Sus scrofa: one gene and its partner. The protein of the gene in region 1 purifies or fractionates together with the protein of each later gene. This does not show direct contact. Links are inferred from orthologs where the notes say so. Each region holds a gene or a part of one and is shown on either strand. Other genes may lie near its edges.

What was found.
Region 2: the proteins of TICAM1 (region 1) and TLR4 purify together in Homo sapiens (affinity purification with western blotting; 3 studies listed by BioGRID). This does not show direct contact. The link is inferred for Sus scrofa from reciprocal best matches to the Homo sapiens genes TICAM1 and TLR4.

Annotation. Positions count from the first base shown.
Region 1 is NC_010444.4:73,999,162-74,014,269, reverse strand, and holds the start of TICAM1 (TIR domain-containing adapter molecule 1), read right to left. Parts: upstream 9,705-15,108; 5' UTR 9,611-9,704; intron 6,073-9,610; exon of another isoform or gene 5,721-6,072; intron 1-5,720.
Region 2 is NC_010443.5:258,039,039-258,054,292, forward strand, and holds the start of TLR4 (toll-like receptor 4 isoform 1 precursor), read left to right. Parts: upstream 1-5,571; 5' UTR 5,572-5,819; coding exon 5,820-5,912; intron 5,913-9,782; coding exon 9,783-9,949; intron 9,950-12,531; coding exon 12,532-14,797; 3' UTR 14,798-15,254.

The DNA of each region.
Region 1 (15,108 bases):
TATCACGGTGTAAGCACTCTGGAGAAACAAAAAGAAAAGGAGAGTCATGGACTCTAAGAATCATGGGTGGGTGCAGGCAGGGTTAAATGATGCGGTTTAGGAAGGCTTTGATGAGAAGAGAGATTTCAATAGGACATAAACATGGGGAGAGAGTGGGCACATCCTGAGGGATGAGAGATACAGGCCAAGGGATCAGCATATGCAAAGGCCCTGGGGAAGGATGGTGCCTGGCCTGTTGGAGGAACAGGAGAGAGGCCCATGTGTCTGAAGCAGAGGGAGTGAGCAGGGGCAGAGGAAGGAGCAGAAGGCAGGGAGGGGATGGGACAGGTTGCGCAGGATCCTGTGAACCTGGGGAGAGTGGGGGGCACAGGGGCGGGGCTGGGAGGACACCTGGGTTTTAACTAAAAACCCAGAATCACCTCTACCTGTATCAAGAAAGATACCTGTTGCCAAGAAAGAAAATGGTGAGACCACATCTGCTAATTATTTAAGAGAAGCCAGAAACACATTTTTTTCAAGAATCTGCTCAGTTGTGTCACGTTAGCAATCGATTCGAAAAAAATTTTCTGTGGCTGCGCCTGCAGCACACAAAAATTCCCAAGCCAGGGATAGAACCCATGCCACAGCGGAGACCGGAGCCACAGCAGTGACAGTGCCACTGAACTTATTAGGAGAGAGAGAATAAAACAAGCATACTCTTCCCTTTAGGAACTGGCAGTCCAGTATATTAATTTAATCTATCTACATAATACATATGTATGTCAACAAAGTGGGTATATGATTTTAGGGCCACGTCCTCGGCATATGGAGGTTCCCAGGCTAGGTGTCCAATCGGAGCTACAGCTGCCAGCCTACACCACAGCTCATGGCAATGCCGGATCCCTAATCCACTGAGTGAGGCCAGGGATCGAACTAGAAACCTCATGATTCCTAGTCAGATTAGTTTCCACTGTGCCATAATGGGAACTCCACGTTATGCCTTTTAATTGGCCCACTGGCCTTCTTGCTGTTCTTCAAACTTGCCAGGCACGGTCCTACCTCAGGGCCTTTGCACTGGCTGCTCCCTCTGCCTGGAACAGTTTCTCTCACAAGTCCTCACAGCTCACTTCTTACCATCCTTCAGATTTTTGGTCAAGCCTGCCTTGATGACACTGTGCACAGCTGTTCCACTAAATAATGTTTTCTTGGAACACAAGCATGCTCACTCATTTACACACGGTCCTTGCTGCTTTCAGGCTACAGTGGCAGAGCTGAGTAACTGCAACAGAGACCACTGTGCCACGAGGGAACTCCAACATTTTTTCGTTTTTAATTCATTAAAATGGAAAAGCTGGAGCAGCCTAAAATATTTCCCCCCTGTTAAAACCAACTTTATTTTGGTAGGATTGGATGTCACTTAAAGTGTTAAAACTGTAGCATTTGGGAGTGGTGCAGTGGGTTAAGAATCTGACTGCAGCAGCTCAGGTTATTGCTGAGGCTTGGGTTCAATCCCTTGCCCAGTGCAGTGGGTTAAAGGATCTGACATTGCTGCAGCTGCAGCGTAGGTCACAGTTTGGGCTTGGAGTCAATCCCTGGCCTGGGAACTTCCATACGCCTCAGATGCAGCTTTTTTTTTTTTTGCTTTTTAGGGCCACACCCGAGGCATATGGAGGTCCCCAGGCTAGGGGTCGAATCGGAGGTGTAGCTGCCTGCCTACACTGCAGCCACAGCAATGCAGGATCCGAGCTGCATGTGTGACCTACACGACAGTTCATGGCAACGCTGGGTCCCTAACCCACTGAGCGAGGTCGGCAATCAAATCCTCAACCTCATGGTTCCTATTTGGATTCGTTTCCGCTGTGCCACAATGAAAACTTCGGATGCAGCCATTAAAAAAAAAAAAAAAAAATGTAATGGCTGAATTGAGATCTGAAAAAATAACATACCAGATCTTGAAGAATTGGTACCAGAAAAGGTATGTAAGGGGCACTGCTATTTTGGAACCAACGCCGCTTGGCTCTAGAAGGTCTCCAAAGTGTATCATCAGAAAGTCCAGCTTATATGGACTGAGAAACAACCTTATCTAATTTTTGTTTGTTTTTGGCCATGCCCAAGGCATGTGAAAGTTACCAGGTCAGAGATTGAGCCTGTGTCACAGCAGCAACTCGAGCCACTGCAGTGACAATACTGATCTTTAACCTGCTGAACTACTGGGGAACTCCTTATGTAGCTTCAGCTGAGCCAGCCCTGGTGAAACGAGCTCACAGCCAGAGTACTCCTGGAGGAAAACGGAAGACAGAAGACGCTGCCATAATGCAGCAGCAAGAGAAAGGCAAAGTGTATAGTTTTTCCTATCTCTGATGTGAGCTGGCTGTTAGCAACAAAATGGGATAAAAACAACAGTGATCTTATGTTCAGGTGGGACCACAAGTCAGCCAAAACTTTTTGAAGTATCGACTACTTGAGGAGTCCCATGCTGTGGCGCAACGGGATCGGTAGCATCTCTGGAGCTCGGAGACACAGGTTCCATCCCTGGCTCAGCACAGTGAGTTAAGGATCCTGTGTTGCTGCAGCTGTGGCGTAGGTGGCAACAGTGGCTCAGATCTGATCCCTGGCCTGGGAACTCCCTACGCCATAGGGCACCCGAAAAAAGAAAAAAAGCAAAGCATAAACCTACTTGAAATATCAGAAATCTCCCTCTATAGCAGTGAACCTCAGATCAACTTTTTTTTTTTTTTTTTTTTGTCTTTCCAGGGTCGCACCTCGCATATGGAGGTCCCCAGGCTAGGGGTCCAATCGGAGCTGTAGCTGCCAGCCTACACCAGAGCCACAGCAGTGCAGGATCCGAGCCGCATCTGTGACCTACACCACAGCTCAGGGCAACACCGGATCCTGAACCCACTGAGCAAGGCCAGGGATCGAACCTGCAACCTCATGGTTCCTTGTTAGATTTGTTAACCACTGCACCATGACAGGAATTCCATCGGATCAACTATTCTTTCCACCTCTCAATGGCTCCTAGGAACAGCTCTGTGTATAGTAACTTTTTTTTTTTTTTATGGCCACACCTCCAGCACATGGAAGTTCCCAGACTAGGGGTTGAATCGGAGCTGCAGCTGTCAGCCTAGGCCGCAGCCACAGCAACACTAGATCCGAGCCACATCTACGACCTATACCACAGTTTGTGGCAATGCCAGATCCTTAACCAATTGAGCAAGGCCAGGGATTGAACCTGCAACTTCATGGATACTAGTCGGGTTCTTAACCCACTAAGCCACAATGGGAACTCCCTATAGAACTTAAAAAGAAAAAATCAGGCGTGTTGACATGCACCCTCCAATTTTTTTTTTTTTTTTTTTTTGGTGTGGCTGCACCTATGGCATATGGAACTTTCCAGACTAGGGGTCAGATCAGAGCTGCAGCTTCCAGCTTATGCCACAGCCACAGCAATGTGGGATCTGAGCCATGTCTGCGACCTATACCACAGCTCACAGCACTGCTGGATCCTTAACCCACAGAGCGAGGCCAGGGATAGAACCCACATCCTCAAGGATAGTAGTTGGGTTCGTAACCCACTGAGCCACAACAGGAACTCCACACCCTCCAATTTTCAACTAATAAAGAGCACAGCTCAGAGTTCCCATTGTGGCTCAGCAGTAACGAATCCGACTAGTATCCAAGAGGATGCAGTTTTGACCCCTGGCCTCACTCAGTAGGTTAAGGATCCGGCACTGCCATGAGCTGTGGTGTAGGTCACAGATGCGGCTCAGATCCCACACTGCTGTGGCTGTGGCATAGGCCAGCAGCTGCAGTTCCAGTTCAGCTCCTAGTGTGGAAACCTCTATATGCCATAGAAATTAAAAACCCTAAAAATTAAAAAAAGAAATTTAAAAAAGCACAGCTGATAAAGGGTAAAGGACAGGCATGAGTGGAGCTGGACGTCAAGTTCTGTTTCCCAGTGTTCACTCTGAAAATTCAAGCTCAGTACTTAGGATCCAAGTCCTATTGTCAGGTTCTACATCAATAAAATCTTAAAAGTGGAGTTCCCTGGTGGCTTAGTGGTTAAGGATCCAGCATTGTCACTGCTGTGGTGCAGGTCTGATCCCTGGCCTGGGAACTTCTGCATGCCATGGGCGCAGCCAAAAACAAACGAAAAAACAAATAAAAAGTTAAAAGGACAAACGTTCAGACTGTGAGAAGCAAACAACTTAGCTGCCAACATAGAACAGAGGAGTCTGTATGAAATTCTCATGTTCTGAGTTCTCCTGGAATCCAGGTATTCAGTGAGAATGGAGTGTCAGCTGCCCTTGTCTAGGAGCCAAAAGCTGCCCCCTCTATGGGACACCCACCTGAAATGACTCCCCTCCAGGGCAAGAGAGGGCAGTTGGTGGGAGCATGCCCGTGGGGTACAAATCTCAGTTGTACTGCTTCCAGGCTGTGACCTTGGACAGGCTACCTGTACACTGGGGCCTCAGTCTCCTCATCTGTAGAATGGGTACAAGGATTAGCCCTCCCTTCGAGGGCTGCTATTAGTTGAGTTAATCCACATAGAAATGTCACAGAGCAGTGCCTGGCATACCATCAGAGCCTTTGGTGACTGATAGCTGCCCACCCCCAGCAGGCACCCAAGCTGGAGGCCCCCTCACTGGACATCCCCACAACAGAGGCTCAGGGCTGGGCTTGTGGAAAAGTAAACAGAGCCAGCCAGACTCAGAATCAGTGAGGCAACCCTGTCCTCACTGGGTATATATCCAGACAAACCTATAACCCAGTGTTCACAGCAGCACTATTCACAATAGCTAAGACATGGAAGCAACCTAAATATTTACTGACAGATGAATGGATAAAGGAGATGTGGTACAGATACACAATGGAATATTACTCAGCCATAAAAAAGAATGAAATAATGCCGTCTGCAGCAACATGGATGAACCTAGAGATTATCATACTAAGTGAAATAAGTCAGAAAAAGACAAATATCATATATAATATCTAAAATATGACAAAAATAAACTTATCTATGAAACAGAAACAGAATCACAGACATACAGAATAGATTTGTGGTTGCCAAGGAGGAGAGGGAAGGGGGGAGGGATGGAGTGGAACTTGGGGGTCAGCAGATGCAAACTATTATATACAGGATGGATAAACAATGAAATCCTACTATATAACACAGGGAACTATATTCAATATACTGTAATAAACCATAAAGGAAAAGCATATAAAAAGAATACAGGAGTGCCCGCTGGAGTGCAATGGGATCCAGGGTGTCTCTACAGTGGTGGAGACATGGGTTTCATTCCCAGCCTGCCACAGTGGGTTAAGGATCCCAATATTGCCATAGCTGTGGGGTAGGTTGCAACTCTGGCTCAGATTCGATCCCTGGCCTGGGAACCCCATATGCCATGGGGCGGCCAAAAAAAAAAAGGGAATATATAGGAGTTCCGTTGTGGCACAACGGACAAGGAGTTAAGGATCCAGCATTGTCACTGCTGTGGTGAGGGTTTGATCCCAGGTCCAGGTATTTCTGCATGCTGCAGGTGCGGCAAAAAAAAAAAAAAAAAAAAAAAAAAAAAAAGAGAGAGAGAGAGAGAGAAAGAGAACATACATATGTATAAATGAATCACTCTGCTGTACTGCAGAAATTATCACAACATCGTAAATCAACTATACGTCAATAAAATTAAAAATAAAGAATCAGTGAGGCAGGACTGCCCCTGCCTGCACTCCTGGCAAGTTACCTAAAGTCACACAGTGTTTCTTCTCCATCTCCCCGCCTGCCAGCCTGAGCCCCGATGCAGTGACTGTGCCAGCTGTGGCCCCCTCCCCAGATGCTGTTCCTTGGTGTGTCCCCTGTGCATTCAATCTGCCCTGGCTAGAGGCCACCTCAAGCTTCCAGAAACCTGGCTCCACCTTCCATGGCCTCCGGGACAAAGTCCACTTGGCATCTGACAGTGGGTGCCAGGGCTAGGGGAGGGGAGCACCTACAGGGGTGGGGATCTGGGTCCACCCCCTGCCAGCTGGCAGGACCTGCTTCTCAGCCTCTGTTTCCTTGTGCATAAAACGAGCAGAGGAGTTCCCGTCGTGGCGCAGTGGTTAACGAATCCGACTAGGAACCATGAGGTTGCGGGTTCGGTCCCTGCCCTTGCTCAGTGGGTTAACGATCCGGCGTTGCCATGAGCTGTGATGTAGGTTGCAGACGCGGCTCGGATCCCGCGTTGCTGTGGCTCTGGCGTAGGCCAGTGGCTACAGCTCTGATTCAGCCCCTAGCCTGGGAACCTCCATATGCCGTGGGAGCGGCCCAAGAAATAGCAACAACAACAACAACAACAACAACAACAACAAAAAAAAAAAGACAAAAAAAGACAAAAAAAAAAAAACGAGCAGAAAAGCAGCCCTCCTCATGAGCGACAGCTCAGTGTAACAATATAAAAAAAGCCTACGAATCAGAAATAAATACTGGCAGAATCTCTTTTTTTTCTTCTTCTTTTATATTAGTTCACCACATTGGGATTATGCCCACACCTTCCTCTCTTATCGATACTCTTGTGGAGTGGATATTAACCGAATGCCTACTCTGTGCCAAGAGCTGTTCTAGATGCTGCTGCTGAGCCCCCGCCCCCCCCCCCCCCCGGCCCTCTCAGAACTCCAGAGACCAGGAATGAAGGAGAAAGTAATTTGCAGAGAATAGAAAGAGCTGTCGAGGACATGAGCCAGGGTCAGGGAAGGCAAAAAGGACTGGGGGAAAGGCTGCCAAGGACTGGGGATCAATGGAGGCCTCTGGAAGTGACAAGTGAGCTGAGACCTGAAGGAAGTGAGGTTGTAACTCACATGCAGGCAGATCCAGGGAAAGAGACTTTCAGGCAGAGAGCTGGGCATGTGCAAAGGCCCTGGGGCAGGACCATGCCTGGTATGCTGGAGGAACAGGGAGGAGGCCAGTGTGTCTGGAGCAGAGTGAGGGAGGGGGAGAGAGGGAGGAAGGGAGGGAAAGGAGGGGACAGGGCAGGTCATGCAGGGTCTTACGGGCTATGGTGAGGACTTTGACTTTTACCCTGAAGGAGATGGGAGCCCTGGAGGGCAGTGGGCAGAGCAGTGATGGAAGGGACTCAGCTGCTTACAGGTGCCCTCTGGCTACTGCAGGGAGGACAGGCTATGGTGGGGGCCAGGGGGCGAGGGCAGGAGAGCTGGGTTTTGTGGGAGGACCAGGGTGGAGGGGACCACTGGCTCTGCTAAGCAATGATGGGAGCCAGACTGGATGGTGGTCTCCAGGAAGGAGATCCAGTGGATGGATGTGTGGATAATTTGGAGACACAGGAGGGGAGCAGGAGGGGGAAAGGATTCCTGGACATTTGAATGTGTGAGATGAGGAGGACATGGGAGCGGCTGGTTTGGGATTGGGGGAAGAAATCAAGAATTGTTTTTGGTTTTTTGCTTTTTTTTTTTTTAGGGTGGCACCTGCAACATATGGAGGTTCCCAAGCTAGGGGTCCAGTAGAAGCTACAGCTGCCCGCCTACACTACAGCCACAGCAACACAGGATCCAAGCCACGTCTGTGACCTACACCACAGCTCACGGCAATGCTGGATCCTTAACCCACTGAGAGAGGCCAGGGATTGAACCCGCAACCTCATGGTTCCTAGTTGGATTCGTTTCCACCGCACCACGATGGGAACTCCAAGAATCGTTTTTGACAGGAGTCACTTGATCAAGTCCTCCCTGCAGACCCCCATCCCTCCCACTGCCCCCCTCACTTCCTCTGATCCAGCCACACTGTTCCTTCAACACACCAGGCATAAGCCTGCCTCAGGACCTTTGCACTGGTTGTTCCCAAAGCCTAGAGTACCTCTCCCCAGATACCCACACTGCGGGCTCCCTCGCCTCCTTCAGGTCTGCCTGAAGGATGTCACCTCCTCACCAAGGTCAACCGTGGACACCCTGCTTAAAACTGAAGCCCATCCCCCACACTCCTTGCTTTATTTCTCTCCTTTCAAATTCCAGCCACCTGACACTATGGATTTATCCTATCAACTCTGTTGACTGTGCACTGCCTCCTACCAGAGTGAGCACCACTAAAACAGGGACGTTCATCTGTCTTGTTCCCAGCTGTATCTCCAGGGACAGGCACACAGTAGGTATACTTACATAAATAGATACGTATACCTTATAAATACTTATTGGCTGAATAAATGAATAAGTGGATGGAATAGTATCCGGCACACAGTAGGCACCTAATAAATGTTTCCTGTTTGACTCCTCCCTCCCCAAGAAGATAGTCTAATCTGCTCCCACCAGGACTGGCATATAGCAGGGACAAAATTCACTCCTTTTGGCTAAAAAAGAAATGTTCCAATGAGACCCGGAAGCCAAAACATAGCCAGACTGTCTCTGAAAAACATCAGGAGACTGAAGGGCATTTATTCAATAAATGTTTGCTGAGCACCTACCATGTGCTGGGCACTGTGCAAAGGAGGGGCAAGGCTGTGAGCTAAGATTATTTTGACTGCCTGTTTACCAGTGGGAAAGGGAGGCACAGAGAGGTAAAGTGATTTCGCCTGGGATCACACAGGTAGAAAGTAAAGCAGCAGGAATTTCAACCAGGCAGCCTGGCTGTGGGGCCCCTGCCTTTACTCACTAAGCACCTACTATGTGCAGTCTCCTTCCTAAGCCTGGATCTGAGGAATCCTCAAGCCTGGCCAATGGAGATGGCACCAGATATCTGCCCTCTGCATTTGGCACACACCCCTGTGACAGGCCACGCTTTTTACCCCATGTGGCTCCATGAGGACACTATTTGGCCCCTACTGTGTGCCCAGCATACTGAACAGTGTCTCCCCCACACAGCAGGTGCTCCATAAACGTTCTTTGAAGAAAGAATGAACGTCCCTTATTTGGAAGACACAGAGGCCCAGGAAGGTTCGAGAGCCTGTAGCACCCACCAACCCCTCCCCCCCAACTCTGGCACCTAGACACCAGGCTTCCAGCTTTCCTGGGTCACACTGGGGTGCCCCCTCCCCCAGACCCCTGTCTCAGCCACAAGGAGAGGGAAGGAACGCAGGTGCCAGGAAGAAGGCCTGGGGCCACCGGGCTCCGAGTGGTGCCAGAAACCAGTCCTGGATAGTCTGTCTCCTGGGCAGGTACCGACCAACCCAACCCCGTACCCCGCGGGAAAAGATGGGGAGTAGGGGGTGCTGAAGATTCCAGATGGGACACTTCGGACCGAGGCAGCGCGCTCCCGCAGGGGGAGCCCCCCCCCAACCAAGGCCCCGGAGGGGCTGGGGGAGGGGCGGGGGGCGGCGATCGCGGGCGAGAGGAACAGGGGCTGGAACAGACAGAGCGCCCAGCTCGGGGAAGAAATCAGAAATGTGGAGAAGGAATGGGGTGTTGGAGGGGAAGACCTGAGTGTTGGGGGAGGATTCGGGGTGACGGGTAAGAGCTGGGGGTCTGGGGAGGACTTAGGTCAGGGAAGGGAACTGGAGTATTGAGGGGAGCACTGAACACGCGGAGGGAGGCCGGCAGAAGTTCCAAGTGGGGGCAGCTGGCCTCGAACGCCGGCGAGGGGCACCGGGCCCCCTGTTGGCCTGCGGGGGTCCCCCGCCCCTCCCCGGCCGGCCCTCACCCCTTTCTCACCTACCAGGGAACCATGGAGACGGCCGCCGCGCTGCTGGAGTCCTCGGGGCTGGGGCTGGTGGCCTGACGGCCCGACGGCCCGACGCCCCGACCGCGGTGCGGGCAGCAGCCGAGGGCGCGCCGGAGGTTGGAGGCGCGCGGTCTCCGCCTGCAGCCTCCGCCTGCCCCTTCCGCGTCCGGGGAGGAGAGAGGAAGGAGGTGAGATCACGCTTTCCCAGCGGGACCGGGAAAGTCCCCGAGACACCCCAAATGACACCCTCTCTCCCTCTGCCCGCTGCCACGTTGGGCGCTGGGGACCACAACAGGGGCCCAGAGGGACAAAAGCCCTGCCCTCGGGGTCGCACAGTCTAGCAAGAAAGAACCACAATTTAAAAATTAGTTCATCTCAATTAGTAGTTAATGTTTACCAGGAAATCGAACAGAGGGGATGGGATAATTGGGGTGTGGAGGGGTGCAGGAATCATGGCCTTCCCGGAAGGGTTTGGGGACGCCCATGTCGTTGGAAGAGGGGCAGCAAGATGGCATATCTGGTTTGTTGTTGTTTGGGCCTAACCTTTGCAAGTGGAAGTTCCAGGGTCAGGGATCGAACCTGGAACCTGAGCCACAGCTGGAGCCACAGCAGTGGCAATGCAAGACCCTCAACCCAATGAGCCACCAGGGAACTCCAAGATGCATGATGGCATATCTTTTTTTTTTTTTTTTTTTTGGTCTTTTTGTCTTTTTTAGGGCCGCACCCACGGCACATGGAAGTTCCCAGGCTAGGGGTCCCTTTGGAGCCACAGCTGCCGGCCTACACCACAGCAACACAGGATCTGAGCTGCATCTGCGACCTACACCACAGCTCACAGCAATGCCAGATCCCTAACCCACTGAGCAAGGCCAGGGATCGAACCCACAACCTCACGTTTCCTAGTCAGATTTGCTTCCGCTGTGCCACAACCGGAACTCCCAAGATGGCATATCCTGAAGCTGCAAACAACCACTCCTAAAATTCACAGGAGGAGTTCCTGCTGTGGCACAATGGGATCTGGCTCAACGGGATCTGCCCTGTCTTGGGAGCACTGGCACCTGGGTTTGATCCTGGCCCACCATAGTGGGGTAAGGATCTCATGTTGCCGCACCTGCAACTTAGGTTACAACTGTGGCTTGAATCTGATCCCTGGCCTGGGAACTCCATATGGCTCAAGGCAGCATATGGAAAACAATGGAGAAAAAAAATTCACAGGAGTCTCAACCTTTTGGGGGTCCTGGACCCAGCGCTTGCAAATACATTCAGCATAATTAAGCCACAGTGCACCGAGTCCAGCATACTTTTAGGGGCCTGAAAAAAGAATTTTTTTTCATTTCTTTTAAAATCAGAAGAAAAAATGAATATAAGCCAACTTGGATTATATATGTCTTTATACCAACGCAGTTGTAAAATGTAATTTAATATTTTTAAATGCAGGAAGGGGCCCACAAAAGACATAAGTAATGTCTTTGGGCCCCTTTGTCATCTGGAACCTCTAGTCAAAATACTATTTGTAATGGAAAACAAATTTATGGTTACAAAGGGGAAAGGGGGTGGGGGGATAAATTAGGAGTTTGGGTTTAATAGATACACACTATTATACATAAAATTTTTAAAAATGGAATAAACAACAAGAGCCTACTGTAGAGCACAGGGAACTATATTCAATATCTTGTAATAAACTGTAATGGAAAAGAACCTGAAAAAATATGTATGGGTGTATAACTGAATCACTTTGCTGTACCCCTGAAACTAACACAACATTGTGAATCAACTATACTTCACTTTTTAAAAAAAATACCATTTGGTAGATGCATAAAACCCAGTACAAGAAGTTACAAGAAAGGCCACTGTGTTGAAATACAGTTATTAAAGTGTTTTAAAAAACTGCTTAGCAATCCATCCTTGGATGAATGGGTAAACAAAACAGGGTCCACCCACACAATGGAATATTATTCAACCTTAAAGAGGAAGGAAATTCTGACACATGCATGAAACTTATGTCCAGTGAGATGAGCCAGACATGGAAGATCAAACACTGATTCCTCGAATAGAAAGTCCTTAGAGGAGTCAGATCCAGAGAGACAGGAAGTAGATGGTGGAGCCAGAGGCTGGGGGAGGGGAAGGGGACAGAGTTTCAGTTTAGGAAGAAGGGATGGAGATGGATAGTGGGGATGGTTGCACGACAGTATGAATGTACTAAATGCCGCTGAGCTGTACTCCTTTTTAAAAAAAAAAAAATTATTATAGTTGATTTACAATGCCAATTTCTGCCGTACCGCAAAGTGACCCAGTCACACATATGCATATATTCTTTTTCTCAGTTGTTCTTCCATTATGTTCTATCCCAAGAGACTGGATAAGCTATACTCTTAAAAATGATTAAAAAGTAAGTTTTATGTCAAGAATATTTTACCACAACAAAACATTGTTTTCAAACCCTTGGCGAGGCAATCATTTCAAAAAGACTCTTGAGAGTTCCCGTTGTGTCGCAGTGGTTAACAATCTGACTAGGAGAATTCCTGTCGTGGTGCAGTGGTTAACGAATCCGACTAGGAACCATGAAGTTGTGGGTTCAATCCCTGGCCTTGCTCAGTGGGTTAAGGATCTGGCATTGCTGTGGCTCTGGTGTAGGCCGGCAGCTATAGCTCTGATTAGACCTCTAGCCTGAGAACCTCCATAAGCCGAGGGAGCGGCCCAAGAAATGGCAAAAAGACAAAAGACAAAACAAAACAAAACAAAAACAAAAACAAAAAAACAATCCGACTAGGAACCATGAGGTTGCAGGTTCAATCCCTGGCCTTGCTCAGTGGGTTAAGGATCCGGCATTGCCCTGAGCTGTGGTGTAGTTCACAGATGCGGCTCGGATCTGGCGTTGCTGTGGCTCTGGCGTAGGACAGTGGCTACAGCTCCAATTAGACCCCTAGCCTGGGAACCTCCATGTGCCTTGGGTGCGGCCCTAGAAAAGGCAAAAAGACCAAAAAAAAAAAAAAGACTTGAAATAGCACTATACCAAAACAAACATAGCTTAGGGTTCTTTCTCTGTGTGTCTCACCAAATAAGCTAACAAGGGCTATTAATCACAGCGATTTCTCATCCCCTCAGTTCAGAATTGAGAAAATGGGAACTATAGGTCAGAGCCAGAGAAAACAAAGATAGGAGGGTTTTTTCCCCATCCGTTCATTGGACACCCTGAATTTTATCACTGGGTGCCTGGATTCCAGTTCAAAGTTCAAAGTTTCTTGGGAGGAAAATGCAAATAGAAGTTATCTGGATGCAAAATGCTCCCGCCCTCCCCAGCCCTACCACAGGGCCTCACTTAGTGCCTGTCTCCTGCAAGGGAGAGACTTTATTGAATGCTTACTGTATGCCAGGCAGGCATGGCTAGGTTCTGGGGATGTATCGGGGTTGGGGTAGGGGAGAGAAAGAAGTGGTGATGCCTTTGGAGCTGGAGAGGGAGAGGGCTTTAAACCCACCTTCCCATGCCTCTCCCCTCATCACCAATTTTGGAATGTCCATTACATGCGTGTCCCCATGCCAAACACATCTTGGTGGCCCTCTGATCCTTGTCTTTTTTATAGCTGCTCCCATGGCATGTGCAAGTTCCCAGGCCAGGGATCAACCCCGAGTCACAGCAGTGACTATGCTGGATCCTTAACCCACTGAGCCACCAGGGAACTCCCTGATCCATATCTTAAAACAACCCTTCCAGGTAAGTTTGAACATGCCTGTTTTATAGGTGAGAACACTGAGGCTCAGAGAAGGTATGAGGGCTGGAGCATCCTGGCTTCCAGGGGAAACCAGGGGCTACAGATGGATACATTTGACCACCTGCAGACAGGTGTAGTTGTGCATCTCCCTTCTTCAATTAAAGAAATAAAAGTTCCAGTTGAGGTCCACATTCCTGTCCAATTTCTCTCCTTCCTGCTCTCACTTGGGAGCCCATTCACTCTCTTTTCTGCTTTTCACACATGGATACATTTCCCTGAAAGTCGTCTTTCGTATTCTTTGGTCTGGCTTTGCTTTTTATGCAGACTGGCCAGAAGTCAGCAAATTTTTTTTCTGCAAAGGACCGGAGAGTAAATATTGCTGATCTTATGGGCCGTAGTATCTTTATTACAATCACCTGACACTGCCTTTATAGTCCCAAAGCAGCCACAGGTGATGTCAATAAATGGGCGTGGCACTGTCCATAAAACTGTTTTTATCAGTGTCTTTTTTTTTTTTTTTTTTTTTGTCTTTTTGTCTTTTCTAGGGCTGCACCCTTGGCATATGGAGGTTCCCAGCCTAGGGGTCTAATCGGAGCTGTAGCTGCCAGCCTACACCACAGCCACAGCAATGCCAGATCCTTAACCCACTGAGCAAGGCCAGGGATTGAACCCACAACCTCATGGTTCCTAGTCGGATTCGTTAACCACTGAGCCATGACGGGAACTCCTCAATTTACAAAACCAAGTGGCAGGCTAGACAGTGGCCACAGTTTGCTGACCCCAGACAGATAGTTTCTTTCTTTTTTTTTTTTTTTGTCTTTTTGTCTTTTTGTTGTTGTTGTTGCTATTTCTTGGGCCGCTCCCTCGGCGTATGGAGGTTCCCAGGCTAGGGGTTGAATCGGAGCTGTAGCCACCGGCCTACGCCAGAGCCACAGCAACGCAGGATCCGAGCCGCGTCTGCAACCTACACCACAGCTCACGGCAACGCCGGATCGTTAACCCACTGAGCAAGGCCAGGGATCGAACCCACAACCTCATGGTTCCTAGTCGGATTCGTTAACCACTGCGCCACGACGGGAACTCCCACAGATAGTTTCTATATTTAGCTTTATTCTGTTGACGATGTCTCCAATATTTTTCCAAGCCAATAAATATAGCCTAACCTTGCTCTTTGGCTTGTTTGGTGGCCGTGCCTGAGGCATGCAGAAGTTCCTGGGCCAGGAATCAAATCCGAGTTGTAGCGGTCATAGAGCCACAACAGTGACAACCTAGATCTTTAACCACTGGGCCACCAGGGAACCCCCAACCTTGTTCCTTTTTAAGTGTGTTATGGTCTCACTAAGCGTGGCTGTATTACAGTTGCTGAGTCCACTATCACTGGGTACACTGGTTGCTGCCACTCTTCCCCCCAAGCAGGCATCGACACATTCTAGGGAGGTGGTTATGAACACAGTTCGGGGGAAGGGAGAGCCTCAGTGCTGGGTTCAGATCCTTTCCTTACTCTGACACTTATCAGCCATGAGGTGGGATGACAAGTGAGCCGGCTGAGGCGGGCCTCAATTTCCCTCCCTTGTAATCTGCTTCTTGGGCTTGATAAAAGGATTCAGTGACTTGGTTGACAGCATTTCTCAAGGGTGGCTTCGGAGAAAGGGAACTTCTGGGACTTCTCAGACGTGGAGAAGACACATTCTCACTCTTACTAAACACTGACGGATTGCTGTCCAAAATAGTGTGGCTATTTTCACTCCCATCCCCCGGCTGGAAGTGAACAAAAAGGCCCAT
Region 2 (15,254 bases), on another chromosome or scaffold:
TGGAATATCTTTCCATTTTTTTACATCTTCTTTGATTTCTTTGATTAAGGTTTTATAGTTCTCGGCATATAGGTCCTTTACCTCTTTGGTTAGGTGTATTCCGAGGTATTTGATTTTGTGAGGTACAATTTTAAAAGGTATCGTATTTTTGTATTCCTTTTCTAATGTTTCATTGCTGGTATACAGAAATGCAACTGACTTCTGAATGTTAATCTTATATCCTGCCACTTTGCTGAATTTATTAATCAGTTCAAGGAGTTTTGGGGTTGAGTCCTTAGGGTTTTCTAGGTATAGAATCATGTCATCTGCATACAGTGACAGTTTGATCTCTTCTCTTCCTATATGGATGCCTTTGATTTCTTTTGTTTGTCTAATTGCTGTGGCTAAGACTTCCAAAACTATGTTGAAGAGCAGTGGTGAGAGTGGGCATCCCTGTCTTGTTCCAGATTTGAGTGAGAAGGCTTTCAGTTTTTCCCCATTGAGGATTATATTTGCTGTGGGTTTATCATAAATGGCTTTGATTATATTCAGGAATGTTCCCTCTATACCCACTTTGGCGAGGGTCTTGATCATGAATGGATGTTGAACTTTGTCAAATGCTTTTTCTGCATCTATTGAGATGATCATATGATTTTTGACCTTTTTTTTGTTAATGTGGTGTATGATGTTGATTGATTTGCGTATGTTGAACCATCCTTGTGAACCTGGGATGAACCCAACCTGGTCATGGTGTATAATTTTTTTGATATGTTGTTGGATTCGGTTGGCTAAGATTTTGTTGAGAATTTTTGCATCTATATTCATCAATGATATTGGGCGATAGTTTTCTTTTTTGGTGGTATCTCTGCCTGGTTTTGGAATGAGGGTGATGGTGGCCTCATAGAATGTCTTTGGGAGTATTCCTTCTTCTTCAACCTTTTGAAAGAGTTTAAGGAGGATGGGCACTAATTCCTCTTTCAAAAATGTTTACTTCTAACAGAAAATTCTGAACTTATTTTAATAGGAATATGGGAAAAATAAACTCTACATTTATTTGTTAAAAAAAAAAGAATTTTCTCAAAATGTCACTTTCTCAGTGAGGCCCATACTGACTTCCCTGTTTAAAACTTTAGTATCAATTACATTGAATCATACTATTGACTTTTTTCATTTTTATACTCATAGATTTTAATATCTTCTAACACATTATGCAATGTACTTATTTATAATTGCTCTTAGCGCTTTCCTTAGAACATGAGCTCAAAGCAAGCCAAGGTGCCTCTTTTCTTCACTGATATATGCTTAGTGCCTAAAAAAGTGCCTGGCAGATGTAAAACCACTTAATACGTATTTGGTGAATGACTGAATTAGTGAATGTTAGTAAAAATTTGTGTAAAATTGTAACATTTCCAAGTACATGCACATGTATTATCTCATTTAACTTCCAAATAATATTACTAATGAGGCCACAATGTTATTTTCCTTGTACAGTTAAGGAAACACAGTGATGTTGAAGATAAGTTACATACCAGAAAATGATGATGCCAGGAAGTAAAGAGGATAATAAAATATTTTAAAGTATAGCCTTCTCTATATTACACTGTATTTTCCAGGGTCTGCATGGACAAGCAGAGATCTGCTGAATGATTTGGTTGAGGACAGAGATAGAACAAAGAGAGAAGACTGTCTTGCCATAATGAACCAGCCACTGCCTCAGGTTCATGGCTAAAAGAAACAAAGAGGATTTTTCTACCTCAAGAGAAGCCAGTTTTTATGGCAATAAGGACTTTTACCCTAATCCACTTACTGTAACTCTACTATTCTCTGTGTTGCTTAAACTGAGGTACATGTACTTTCAGGGACTATTAGGAGGCAGAAAAGTATAACACCATAAAGGTATAAAGAACAAGTATTTAAAAGAAAAATAATGAGAAGAAAGCCACAGAATAATTACTGAACATATTATAAGAGAATATCATTACTCAGTATGGAAAGGTGACAGATACTCTAAAATACCGGCTACATATTAAAAAACAAATTCAGATATATTGTTCATTGACCCATTCACTAATTACTTACTGAGTATCTACCCATGCATTCAATATATGTGAACAGTAGACAAAGCCTCTGTCCTCATGGAGTTTTTAGTCTAGTACAGAGACAGATAATACGGAGATAGGAAATTCAAAATAATTTTTTAAAAAATCTGTAAAGGAATGGATACATGTATATGTATAACTACTTTACTTTGACGTACACCTGAAACTAACACAACTTGTAAGTCAACTATACCTCAATGAAATGTATTAAAAAATAACACAGGAAATGCCATAGACATTTCAGGCTGGGGAGCAGTAGGCACTACTATGGCTGTTTGCCTTGATAGCTCCTGTGGGGTACACTCTCTTGCTCCTGGTACCAGATGTTTTGGGGAGAAAAATCCTGAGATGTACAGGGCAGTACTTAATGTGACAACCTTAGCCCTAGAGACAGGAATTGGGTCTTTGGTGCGAGAAGACTATCCTTCACGCTTCTGCTTAAGAGCAATGTTTTTTTCTACTGTAGATCACAGAAACATGGTTTCAGGGCATGCTAATGGATACAGGGCTGGTAATGGGTATTGAAGGATAAAAGAGAATCACCATGGTTCAAAAAGTTTAGGAAACCTTGAGTCCTCTAGCTTCTTTGTAGATGCAAAACACCCATTAGTACAGCACTTGTTCCAAGGAGTACTTAAGAAACAATCATCTTTATTATCTAACCATTTATTTTCTTGACTTGAAAAGAGCCCCTCACTTTTTTTTTTTTTTTTGGTTTTCTTATTGACAGACTATTCCTCATTGAATATAATGTACCCATGATCATTAGATGTACTATTATCTCACTTGCCACAAGGAAAGCCAAAATAAGTCTGCCAATAATAATTGTAATATATTGTCAATTCTGAGACATATTCTGATTTGAGAGATGTTAACATGTGAAAAAATGTGAAACTTAGAATTGTTGGATGGAATCAGATTTGGTTCTTAGCAATGCCCAACATCGAGGGCCTTTCTTCTCTGAGCCAGGCTATGTTGTGATTGTACACTCTTACTAATTTATTTGAAATATCATGAAATGTATATTAAAGGATGCTAAGGCTGTGGCACAGATAACCCACTGAGAGTTCTGTGTTCTTTCCATAGGGTAGAACAGAATTGGTGCTGTACAGCAGAAACCATCAGTGACTCTGTGTGTGTGTCTAGTGGGGGGTAGAATGAGAGGCTTGAAATCTAGATGATACACAGCCTCAGACCATTATTGACATGGCTAGTTTTACTTGCATTTTAGGAAGATTGCTTCGATTTCAGGATAAAGGCTGGATTGGAAGGGTTGAGACTTTGAAAGAAGCGCATCATCTTCCTAAGGGTTAAAGTGTGTTTTCTTTCAAACTGGGGGTCTGGGAGAACCTTTAACAGTGCATTGCAACACTGCAGGCCAAGGAATGTGTTCAATCATCATGTGAATAGAAATGAAGACTGATACTTTAGAAATGATTTTACAGATGAAATCTCTAGGCTTGCTGGAATGTTTTGTTTTAAAGTGTTGATTCTACTATTATGCAGGTTTCAGGAGCCGATTGCTCTTGAAACAGTAGTTTGTTACTCATGGTTTAAGAGGAGACACAGGACACCCTGCAGAGCCACATGGGAAAGCACTAGAGACCCTCAGGAGGCAGAAGGAGCAAGGGGAAGGCACTCTTCACTGTGGCTCCTTTGGGAAAGGCAAGAAAGGGCAGGGTAAGCAGGCTTAGGATTGGCTAGTTTGAGTAAGGTCAGCAGGGTTTGGGGTGTAGGGGCTTTCTCTACTTGTCTGGTACCTGGCCCTGTTATGATTAGGGCAGAAGAGGATAGAGGCCAGACACCGGGGAGGGGGTTCAGAGTACAGATTCTGGTTTGGTTAGTTTGCACATGAAAGGTATGCTCCAGAAAAAAATCATATGCTATCTCTAAGAACTGGCCAGCTCAGTCTAGCTCCATGAGCCAGGTCCCCAAAGCCTGGGCATCAAGAATACAGAAATAAGAAAACAACATTAATACACATTTGATGAGTGAAATGAGGAAGTCAAAGAGATATCCATTTTGGATGACTATGGAAGTGAAATGTTTTTAACTTTCAAGGGAACTAAGCTTTATTGGGTACTCACTCTGTGCCAGGCATGACTTGAAGACCTTTACATGGTCTCGATTAATCCTCAAAGCAATGTTTGGGACTATTTTTAGCTTAATTTTACATGAGTGCTGAAGAAGTTTGCAAGAGTTTGTGCTCCGTCCCCTGTGACCCATTCCCTCACAGCTTGATTTTAGATGTGTTGGATTTGAGGTCCTTGATGGATATCTTGGTGGAACTATTTAGGACACAATACCAGCAATGGCACCATTTTAAACTATGTTCCTATTTAACAGAAACTTACATTGTGCTTTCTACACTCTAAACATAATCTGTCCTAAAAGCTTTACAAATGCCACCTTATTTAATCCCATAACAATAATTTGAGGTACATATTAGCACCCTCATTTTATTCATATTTTTAATCATCTTAATAGCCTCCAATTTGAGGAATATCCTGATGAACCATGCAGTAGAACAGGCATTTTATGTAAATCAGCTTAATTCAGTCACACAATATGAATGTGATTATATCCATTTTAAAGACCAGAAAACGAATGCTTTCGTGGCTTGCATCATTTGACTACTATCACATGGTTTTATTGTTATAAACTTTATAAAGGTGAATTTCTGTTGTGCTTAAAACTATTATCCCATTTTACAGACCAGAAATTGTCTCAGTCGTTTAAGAGACTTGACCAATGCTACAAGGCCATAAACCACCCAGCCAGGATTTGAATTTCAGTATATTTGATTCTTCATCCCAATCTTTTCCCAATATTCTTGTACTTTTCAAACGGTGTTTCCCTGGAGCCCTATTTTCAATGTTTCATAAATGTGGGCTTCTTCACAAGATTTCATAAAATTGGACAGTGCTATGAGTGAATCGCATCCTCTGCCAAAATTCATGTGCTGGAGTCTTTATTCTGGTACTGCAGACTGTGACTGTATTTTGAGAGTGGGTCTTTACAACAGTAATTAAGGTAAAAGGAGGTCACTACATCATATGGGTGGATCCTAATCCAGTATGACTGCAGTCCTTATAAGAAGAGGAAATTAGAACAGAGACACACAAGAGGAAAGAACTTTGGCACAAGAAGGAAGAGATAGCCATCTACAAGCCAAGGAGAGAAGCAGTTAACCCTGCTGACACCTTGACTACAGACTTCCAGCCTCTGGAACTTTGTGAGGAAATCAACGTCTGCTGTTTAAGCCACCTAGTCTGTGGTATTTTGTTATGGCAACCCTAGCAAACTAACACAGACAGTAAATTTCCACTAGTAAAACAAAAGTGGAAAGCCACCGTCCCAGGCAGTTAGTCACACAGGCTGTTTGACCAGTCTGACTGTTTTCCTAAACTCAACAACACTGAGGTCAGATGACTTCCTGGGATAAAAGCCAGCTTCCTCTTGCTATTACTCCAGCTCCGGTCTACAGGTTTTCTTCTTCTTCTTCTAACTTCCCCTCTGGTGACAGAGGAGATAAATATTAGAGAAACAAAAGTCCAGAATGCGAAGGCTGCCATTCTCACTTCCTCTTACCCCTTAACCCAGTGCTGCTTTGAATAGAGTCAGTGCCCCCGGGCAGTGTGCTGAGGAGAGAAGACGGCAGTGCCTGGGAGGCTGCTCTGACCAGCAGATACAGAGGGTCATGCTTTCTCCGGGTCACTTCTGTTCACGGAAAATGCCAGGATGATTCCTCGCATCCGCCTGGCTGTGGCCACGATCCCAGCCATGGCCTTTCTCTCCTGCCTGAGATCTGAGAGCTGGGACCCTTGCGTGCAGGTATGTGGTAGGAGTCTGCTCAGCTTCCCCTGAGCTTTGCCTTGCTTCTGAAAAACTGCTCTCTGCCTAGAGCTTCCCTTGGTGAGCCCTGGTTAGTTTCATTAGCAAACAGAAGTCAAATTACCTTAAAGACTTAAGAGACCAAAGGGACCAAAAAATTCATGGTAAGAGCGCACTAATAGGCAGCCCATGGGGTTTTGTCCCACCTAGGACTTAAAGGGCTAATGGGACGTTAGGTCAGATAGACCTGTTTAAAATCACTGCCTTTCCAATTCTGGGCTGTGTGACCTTGAAGAAGTTACCCAACCTCTCTTAGACTAGTTTTCACATCCATAAAAGAATTATAGGCTTCAGTACAGAGTTGCAAGAAGCCTGCTTCCTGTCATTCCTTTCTGTTGGTGGTTTGCATACTCTGCTTTGAGCTGTTTTATTTGCCCCTTTCAATCTCAGGAAGATATTTTTAGTCTCTTAATAGAAATTTCTAAGCAGATTTCCAACTTCTGGTCATAGTTCTGTCCAAACGATAAAAAGACAGAAGTTAGAAAAGGAGAGACAGAGAAAGAGAGAGAGAAAGGAATGAAGAAAGAAGGAAAAAAGAGACAAGTTATAAAATATCAGCTAATGTAATGCTTGCTTTCTTTGTGAAACATCAATCAGTTGGTTCATAATCTCATTACTGATGGATTTTGTTTGTTCTTCCACTGCATGGACTTTACAATTGCTTTGGAAGCCCATGGCAGACCCAAACAGCCACAAGAATGTCCTGGATTTAGGATGTGGCAGGGTCAGAAACTCAAGAAAAGCATAACCTGCCAGAGTCCTGGCACTGGGGACATGGAAGAAACAATATACTTTGATATGTAACAAAGACAAATCTGTTATCTGCAAGTCCTCTGTTTCCCCAATTCCCTTCTCACTGTCCTCCTCTCTGTGTCTTTCCTGCTGTTAGGTTAGTAGGTATAGATCCTCCAATCATGCTCCCCCCAGGATAAAACCAAGGGGGGGAGGGGGGTGGCAGTGGGGACCATGTGGCTCCTCCTTCTCCCATGCTCCCAATACTCTCCATTTCCAAAGCTTGCCCAACCCTTCTCTTCCCTCCAGGATCACTCTGGGGCAGATCCTCAGTTCCCTTGGCCTTGACTCTTGGACAGGGACTAGTCTCATGTCCCATTGTCCCTGTCATTTAATCTAACCTGTACATTTTTGTTGTTTGTTTGTTGCAGTTTTTCCTGAGGTTCAGTTCTAACAAATTACCATCCTTAAAAACTTGCACTAACTCTCCATTGCTATCAGGACCTTTTCCTGCCATGGGGCCTTTGCCGTGGCTATTTCCTCTAGCTAGAATGCCTTCCCCGTAGATCTGTGGTGCTCAGTGGTAATATCATAGGGTCATGTGACATTATTTAAATAATAAATTTAAGTAACTAAATTTAATTAAATTTTTATTCAACTAAGTTAACTTTTTAAACTAAATTTAAAATGTAGTTTTACATTTTCTAGTAGCTACATGAAAATATAAAAAGAAGAAAGTGAAATTAATTTTAATAATATTTTTGTTTAACTCAGTACATTCAAAATATTATTTCAAAATGCAATGTATACTAAAGCATTAATAATATATTTTACATTCCTTCTTTGGTTTTAAGTCTTTAAAATTTAGTATATATTTTACATTTGCAATATATCTCAGTTTAAACTATCCATATTTCTTATGCTCATTATGGTCAGTATGTCCCTATTGGACAGTACAGCCCTAGATATTTTTATGACTTAATCCCTCATTTCATCCAGATTTCTGCTTATATGTCACCTCCTTCAATAAGTCTTCCTTGATTGCTTCACATAGAGCACCTCACCCCCCATATTTGCCACTAGTTTCCTATGCTGCTTTATTTTGATAGCACATTTTTGTAGCACATACACATATAGGTGTATATTTATATTTTATATATATATAAAACATGTATTACCTATGTTTTATATATATATATAAATATATATTTTATTTGTCTATTGCTTGTATTTTCCTTGAAATGGAATCTATAAGAGGTCAAGATAATTTCTGGTTTTAGTTATGACTCTATCCCAGTGCATCTCACATTATAGTTGCTCATTTAAATGTGATTGAAAGCATTGCCACAGAACAAAGTACGAGGCCTCCTATCTGGCCCTCCCCTCTGGTTGAGGTTTTGCCACTCCTGCCACACAACGTTAATCTGAGCTAGTTTTTCACCCCTCTGTACTTGCTGTGCCCTCTTCCTTCCTCTCCTTCCTTTCCATGTATCCAAATCTCATCCTTCCAGACCCACCTTGAAATTTTCTCTTTCTTGGAAGCCTTCTACAGTCTATAATCTCTGGATCCAGTATTGATCTCCACTTTTTAATGAACTAAGGAGAAAATGTTCTAAGTCTGGTTTCATCCCCTTTTCAGGAGTCTAACTTGTGCTTTTCTTTTAACTCTCTCAGTTGTGAGCTCATTGAAGTCTAGAGCCATATCCCATTGGTCTTTGTGTTGTCTATAGCACTTAGCAGAAAATGCCTTCAACTGGGTTTTGAATAAACATCTATTTAAGCAGTTATCCATTCATTTATTCAACAAATATTTATAGATCATTAACTATTTCCCAGGCACCTTCTGACTGCTGCAGACATAGCAGAGAGCTAGACTTTCAAAGCTTGCAGTCTAGTGAGGAAAATGAATAGTATATATGGAACATATGTTCATAATATTACATAGTGATTCGTCCTGTGAGGGAGGATAAAAGAAGGCAAGGGAAGAATGCCTGAACTATCACGTATTAGACAGTATGGTCTGTGAGGACCCTATGGGGAATAATATTTTAGGAGACAAGTGAATAAAGCAAAGAACTGCACTATGGCCTGTAAAACTTAACACACATTACTTCATCTTTCTAAATTCTTCTTTAAAAGGTTTATTTGAAGATTAAATTAAGGTATGTTACATATAAGAAACAAGCCGGTATATAGTGGGGAATTAATAATAGCCAATAATAATATATGTTAACATGTATTGATCATTTACACTGTAATAGGATTTCATACCTTTAAATACCTTATCCCATTAATCCTTTTAACAGATTCTGTTGGTTTTAAACTGAAAACCAAAATTAACTGGCTTAAGCAAGGAAATTTGTTGAAGAAATCAGAGACTTAGGAAATTAAACTGGAGGTTAGAGAACAAGACTTAACAAAGAATTTGAGAAAATATGATCGAAACCAGCAGAGGAACCAAGGCAGCATCAAGCACTTGATCTTATTTACTAGGTTCTACCATTGGAGTCCATGCACCTCAAAGATATGTCCCCATTTCTATCTCGTCTGCTCAAAGGTCAGCGATCCAAGGGAAAGAATACAATGCCAAAAACTGGGGTATGGCTAAGAGAGATCTGGATATCTGACTGGCCGCTTCCCTAAGCTTCTATACAATGAAGGCTATATTCAGAAAAACAATGGCCTTCCTTGCCTCAAATCACAGGGAAGAGCTAGGGTGAAACCCAGAGCTTTTGGACTCTAGAGCCTCAGCTCTTCACTACTTGCCTTGACTGCTTCACGATAAATGGTGCCATTGTGGTAGTAGAGGTTAAACACTGGGTACAGAGTAGTTTTCCCTTTTCCCTTCCTAATCCAGAAAAAGATATTTTATAAGAATGAAGTGAGTGGATACAGGAATGGATGGGTGGATAGATGAACAGAAGATTGGATGGAAGGATGGATGGATGAAAGAAGGTTGACTGGCCCCTGTGCCTATACCAGTGGCCTCCTAGGCTCTGGTCTAAGAGAGGGGAGATGCAGGGAAGTCTGTTAGGGTGCATGCAGGAAGACACTGCATCTAATGTCTGATTATTTCAGGTGGTTCCTAACATTAGTTACCAATGCATGGAGCTGAATTTCTACAAAATCCCTGACAACATCCCCACATCAGTCAAGATACTGGACCTGAGCTTTAACTACCTGAGTCATTTAGACAGCAATAGCTTCTCCAGCTTTCCAGAACTGCAGGTGCTGGATTTATCCAGGTAATGCATGAGCTTTTACCACTATCCAGAGCAAAATGTTCATTGTTCTTTCATTTAATTCTTAAGTAAGAAAGCTTGATTAGTAGAGTCTCATCTTCATTCACTTATTCATTCATTCAACAGATGTCTTATTTGCTATAAAACTTTGGGTAAGCCACCTCCTTCTCCAGGTCTCAGCTTTCTTATCTCAGAAATGAGCAGTTGGATAAGTCAGTTTCTCAGGACAACTCTATCTTTGATTTTAAGTCAGGGAAGTAAATTGACTCCAACTCTTTCATCAGCAGATATTAATTGACTACTTTCTATATGTTGTTAACTCTGCTGGGAAACAAGAGTCTGCTGATATATAACATACAACCCTAGCTATAAAGGAGGGCCTATCCACTTGAAAGAACTAATATGTTAAAATCCTGAGCAGGGTGCTGGGCACAGAATAGACATTCAAAGATGTTACCTGATTCTGATTCCGTATTTTTAACCTGAGATAAGGATAGGTGATAAGTTATTAGCAAACTAGAGGTGACACATCATGTTATTTAGAAAAGAGACCTTCTATGCAGCGAGTAATCAAGACAGATTTCACAAACTGAGCGGGATGCCAATAATGTCTGGAATATTGAAAGTGAGGTAGAGGACCAGGACTTAAGAAGAAACAAGTAACCTAAAGAGAAAGATTACAAGATCAAAGGAAAACATCTGTGGTGAGAAAGAACAGTGACTCAGATTATTTTCTAATTCAGGGAAGTATATCATTCATTAGCATAGGTGGAGTTATTGTCATAATTTTTGGGGGAATTGAATCCTAAAATGATTTTCATCATCAGGGACCTTATTTAGAAATGTACTAGATAATGGACTATAATCTTTAAAGAGTTTGTAAAACATGAAGAAATACTGTATATATGACATTTTACTATAGAAACTCTTAATAAAGGTGAAGAGGATGGTAGGTGTTCCTGTAGAAGGGTAAGCATCTGACGTTTTATGCTCTAACATGGACATTGATAGACTGTAATGAAGGGGGAAATGGAGCATTTTAAAGGCAGTGGCATGGAGCCATACGGAGGCCAGAAGACTTGAGCCAGGTCCTCCTCCAACAGTTATTGACATATGGCCTGAGGAGTGTCGCTTCAACTCCCTAAGTCTCAGTTTTCACATCTGTGAAACAGAAATGATGATCTTTATCCCATATGGTTAATTGTGATACTGAAGATTAACATGCCATGTATTTTAACAACCTCACAAAGTAGACTTTATAAGTATAAAATACTATTAGAGCATTCCATTAGTTTATAAAAATCTCAGTTTTCTGAGTAAGAATTCTGTCAAGAACTATACTGAATTTTGTACAAGAACTCTATGGAATTGAAGTAGACAAACCAACCCTCTTTTTTTAAAAAAAAGATTAAGAAGTGGTTTCTTATCAAACGCTGTCTATTATAAATCATCTTCGACCCACCACATACCCAAGGAATGACTCTCAGAGTCTTTAAATATGTGCTTAGAGAATGGCCAGCTTCCCTTCCTGGTTAGCCAGGAGGAGATTCTGGATTAGGGCAAGGACAATTAATAGTGCAAAAGATAAACTCTGCCTTTTCTTTTTCTTCATTTTTAATGTTTGATTTAAAATGTTGTACCAATTTCTGTTCTACAGGAGAGTGACTCAGTTACTCTTTTTAAAAAACATTATTTTACCTCATGGTCTATCTCAGGAAACTGGATATAATTCCTTGCTATACAGTAGGATATAGTTGTCTATCCATTCTAAATGTAATAGTTTGTATCTGTTAACCCCAAACTTCCAGTCCACCCAATTCCCTAAACTCTGCCTTTTCATACTGCTTCACACTGCTTAAGTACAGTACCTCTGCTTGTCTTTTAAAGATGCTTTGTGATAGACCAGTCAGCCTTTTTTTTTCCTATGGAAATCTATTGATACATATTTTTTTCTTTCTGTAGAGGAGAAAGAAGGTGAGTTTAAGAGGTTCATATATGTTCACATGTCTTGATAACGGCAGACCAGAAATTCATGTCCGTATCTGCTGCTTCCAAGTAAAATGTTCTCTTTGTCTTTAATACTCTGCTTCTCTAAAAGCCCCCTTGTATAGAAATCTTTTCATGAACGTTAAAGATATCTGTTATTTTGATGTAATCTTTTATATATTTAAAATTGAAATTTACCAGTTATTTATCATGGCTAACAACCAACTATCTGTGTCATATGCACCAACTGCATATATAATCACAATTTTACATGACAGGAAATGTCGAAAGTTGATCCACAGCTCTGTCTTCATGGGTCCCCAGTATTGATCTTTAACTGATTTCCCTCTGATGGATGAGCTGCCTCTGTTTAGTGTGGTGCACCTAGTGTGACAAAAAGATAGTGATGGTGGCCAGTATAATTGTACCAAATTTGTGGGCCTCTTCATTGCTTTATCTGCCTCACTTGATATGTTTGCCTATGCACCATCATATGGCATGCCACGTCTGTGTGAAGACTTAGATGACTGGGTTAATATTTCATTCTAATTTTTTATTCAACAGAAACATTATATAATCTGTACCTTTCTTCCCTATAGATGTGAAATTCAGACAATTGACGATGATGCATATCAGGGCCTAAATTACCTTTCCACCTTGATACTGACGGGAAATCCTATCCAGAGTTTAGCCCTGGGAGCCTTTTCTGGACTACCAAGTTTACAGAAGCTGGTTGCCGTTGAGACAAACCTAGCGTCTCTAGAGGACTTCCCCATTGGACATCTTAAAACCTTGAAGGAGCTTAATGTGGCTCACAATCATATCCATTCTTTCAAGTTACCTGAATATTTTTCTAACCTGCCCAACCTGGAGCATTTGGATCTTTCTAAGAACAAAATCGAAAATATTTATCATGAACACTTGCAGGTTCTACATCAAGTGCCCCTACTCAATCTCTCTTTAGACTTGTCCCTGAACCCTTTAAACTTTATTGAACCAGGTGCCTTTAACAAAATTAGGCTCAATGGATTGACTTTGCGAAGTAATTTTAATAGTTCGGATGTAATGAAAACTTGTATTCAAGGTCTGGCTGGTTCAAAAATCAATCAGTTGGTTTTGGGAGAATTTAAAAATGAAAGGAACTTGGAAAGTTTTGACAAATCTGTCCTGGAGGAACTGTGCAATTTGACCCTTGAACAGTTCCGGATAGCACACTTTGGTGAATTCCCAGATGATGTTTCTGACTTATTTAATTGTTTGGCAAATGCCTCTGTGATTTCTCTGTTGAGTCTGAATTTGCGTGGTCTAGAAGCCCTTCCTAATGATTTCAGGTGGCAACACTTAGAAGTGGTTAACTGTAAACTTCAACAATTTCCTGCATTGAAGTTCAACTCTCTCAAAAAGTTTGTTTTCAAAGACAATAAACATATGCACACTTTTACTGAAATTAACCTGCCAAACCTTCAGTTTCTAGATCTCAGTGGAAATCACTTGAGCTTTAAAGGTTGCTGTTCTCACAATGAATTTGGGACAACCAAACTGAAGCATTTAGATCTGAGCTTCAATGAAATCATTACCATGAAGTCAAACTTCATGGGCTTAGAGCAACTAGAATACCTGGATTTCCAGCATTCCAGTTTGAAACAGGCTAATGACTTTTCCATATTCCTATCACTCAGAAACCTCCATTACCTTGATATTTCTTATACTAACATCCACGTTGTCTTCCGTGGCATTTTTGCTGGCTTGGTCAGCCTCCAAACCTTGAAAATGGCTGGCAATTCTTTTCAGAACAACTTGCTTCCTGATGTCTTCACAGATCTGACTAACTTAATCCTCCTGGACCTCTCTAAGTGTCAACTGGAACAGGTATCCCAGAGGGCATTTCATTCCCTCCCTAGGCTTCAGGTGCTAAATATGAGTCACAACAGACTCTTGTTCTTGGATACACTTCCTTATAAACCACTCCACTCCCTCAGGATTCTGGATTGCAGTTACAATCTTATCGTGGCCTCCAAGGAACAAGAACTACAGCATCTGCCAAGGAGCCTAGCTTTTTTAAATCTCACTAAGAATGACTTTTCTTGTGCGTGTGAACACCAGACTTTCTTGCAGTGGGTCAAGGACCAGAAGCAGCTCCTTGTGGGAGCTGAGCAAATGGTGTGTACACAACCTTTAGAAATGCAGGACCTGCCTGTGCTGAGTTTCAGGAACGCCACCTGTCAGATAAGCGAGGCCGTCATTAGTGCGTCAGTTCTCACCTTCCTCCTGGTATCTGTGGCAGGAATCCTGGTCTATAAGTTCTATTTCCACTTGTTGCTTTTTGTGGGCTGCAAAAAATATGGCAGAGGTGAAAGCACCTATGACGCCTTTGTTATCTACTCCAGCCAGGACGAAGACTGGGTGAGGAATGAACTGGTAAAGAACTTGGAGGAGGGGGTGCCCCCTTTTCATCTCTGCCTTCACTACAGAGACTTCATTCCCGGTGTGGCCATCGCTGCTAACATCATCCAGGAAGGTTTCCACAAAAGTCGGAAGGTTATTGTCGTGGTGTCCCAGCACTTCATACAGAGCCGATGGTGTATCTTTGAGTATGAGATTGCCCAGACCTGGCAGTTTCTGAGGAGTCATGCCGGCATCATCTTCATCGTCCTGCAGAAGTTGGAGAAGTCCCTGCTGCGGCAGCAGGTGGAGCTGTATCGCCTTCTCAGCAGGAATACCTACCTGGAGTGGGAGGACAGCGTCCTGGGGCGGCACATCTTCTGGAGACGACTCAAGAAAGCCTTGCTGGATGGTAAACCATGGAGTCCAGAAGGAACAGAGGATTCAGAAAGCAACCAGCATGATACAACAGCCTTCACTTAAGGAGGGAAAACTCCCAACGTGTCCCTTGGTCAGCTGGATCCCGTGCTTGTTAACAAGTACTAAATCCTGCAACATGCCAAGCACTGTGCCAAGGGCTGGTGATTCAGTGATGCCCGAGATACACAGGACTGCCAGTCTCATGGAGTTTACAATTTAGAGGGACTAAACACTGTTCTAAAATACAGAACTTCCAGGTGGATGTTTCGACCAAATCAGCTAAGGCGTCCAGGACAGGGAAAGCCAATTCAACTCTTAGCGCATCAAATTGTATTAGAACTAAGATCCTGAGTCTCAGTCAGCTGAGAAAAGGACAGAGTTCTTCTCTGGAGTCTTTTTAGTGGAAACTGCATCATGGTACATGTTTTAACTATGTTAAAACAAATTGGTTTGGGTAGTTTCAACTGACCAGGGTCTGGGTTCATTTTTCCCTTTCCTACTGAACACAGTTTAAATCAGA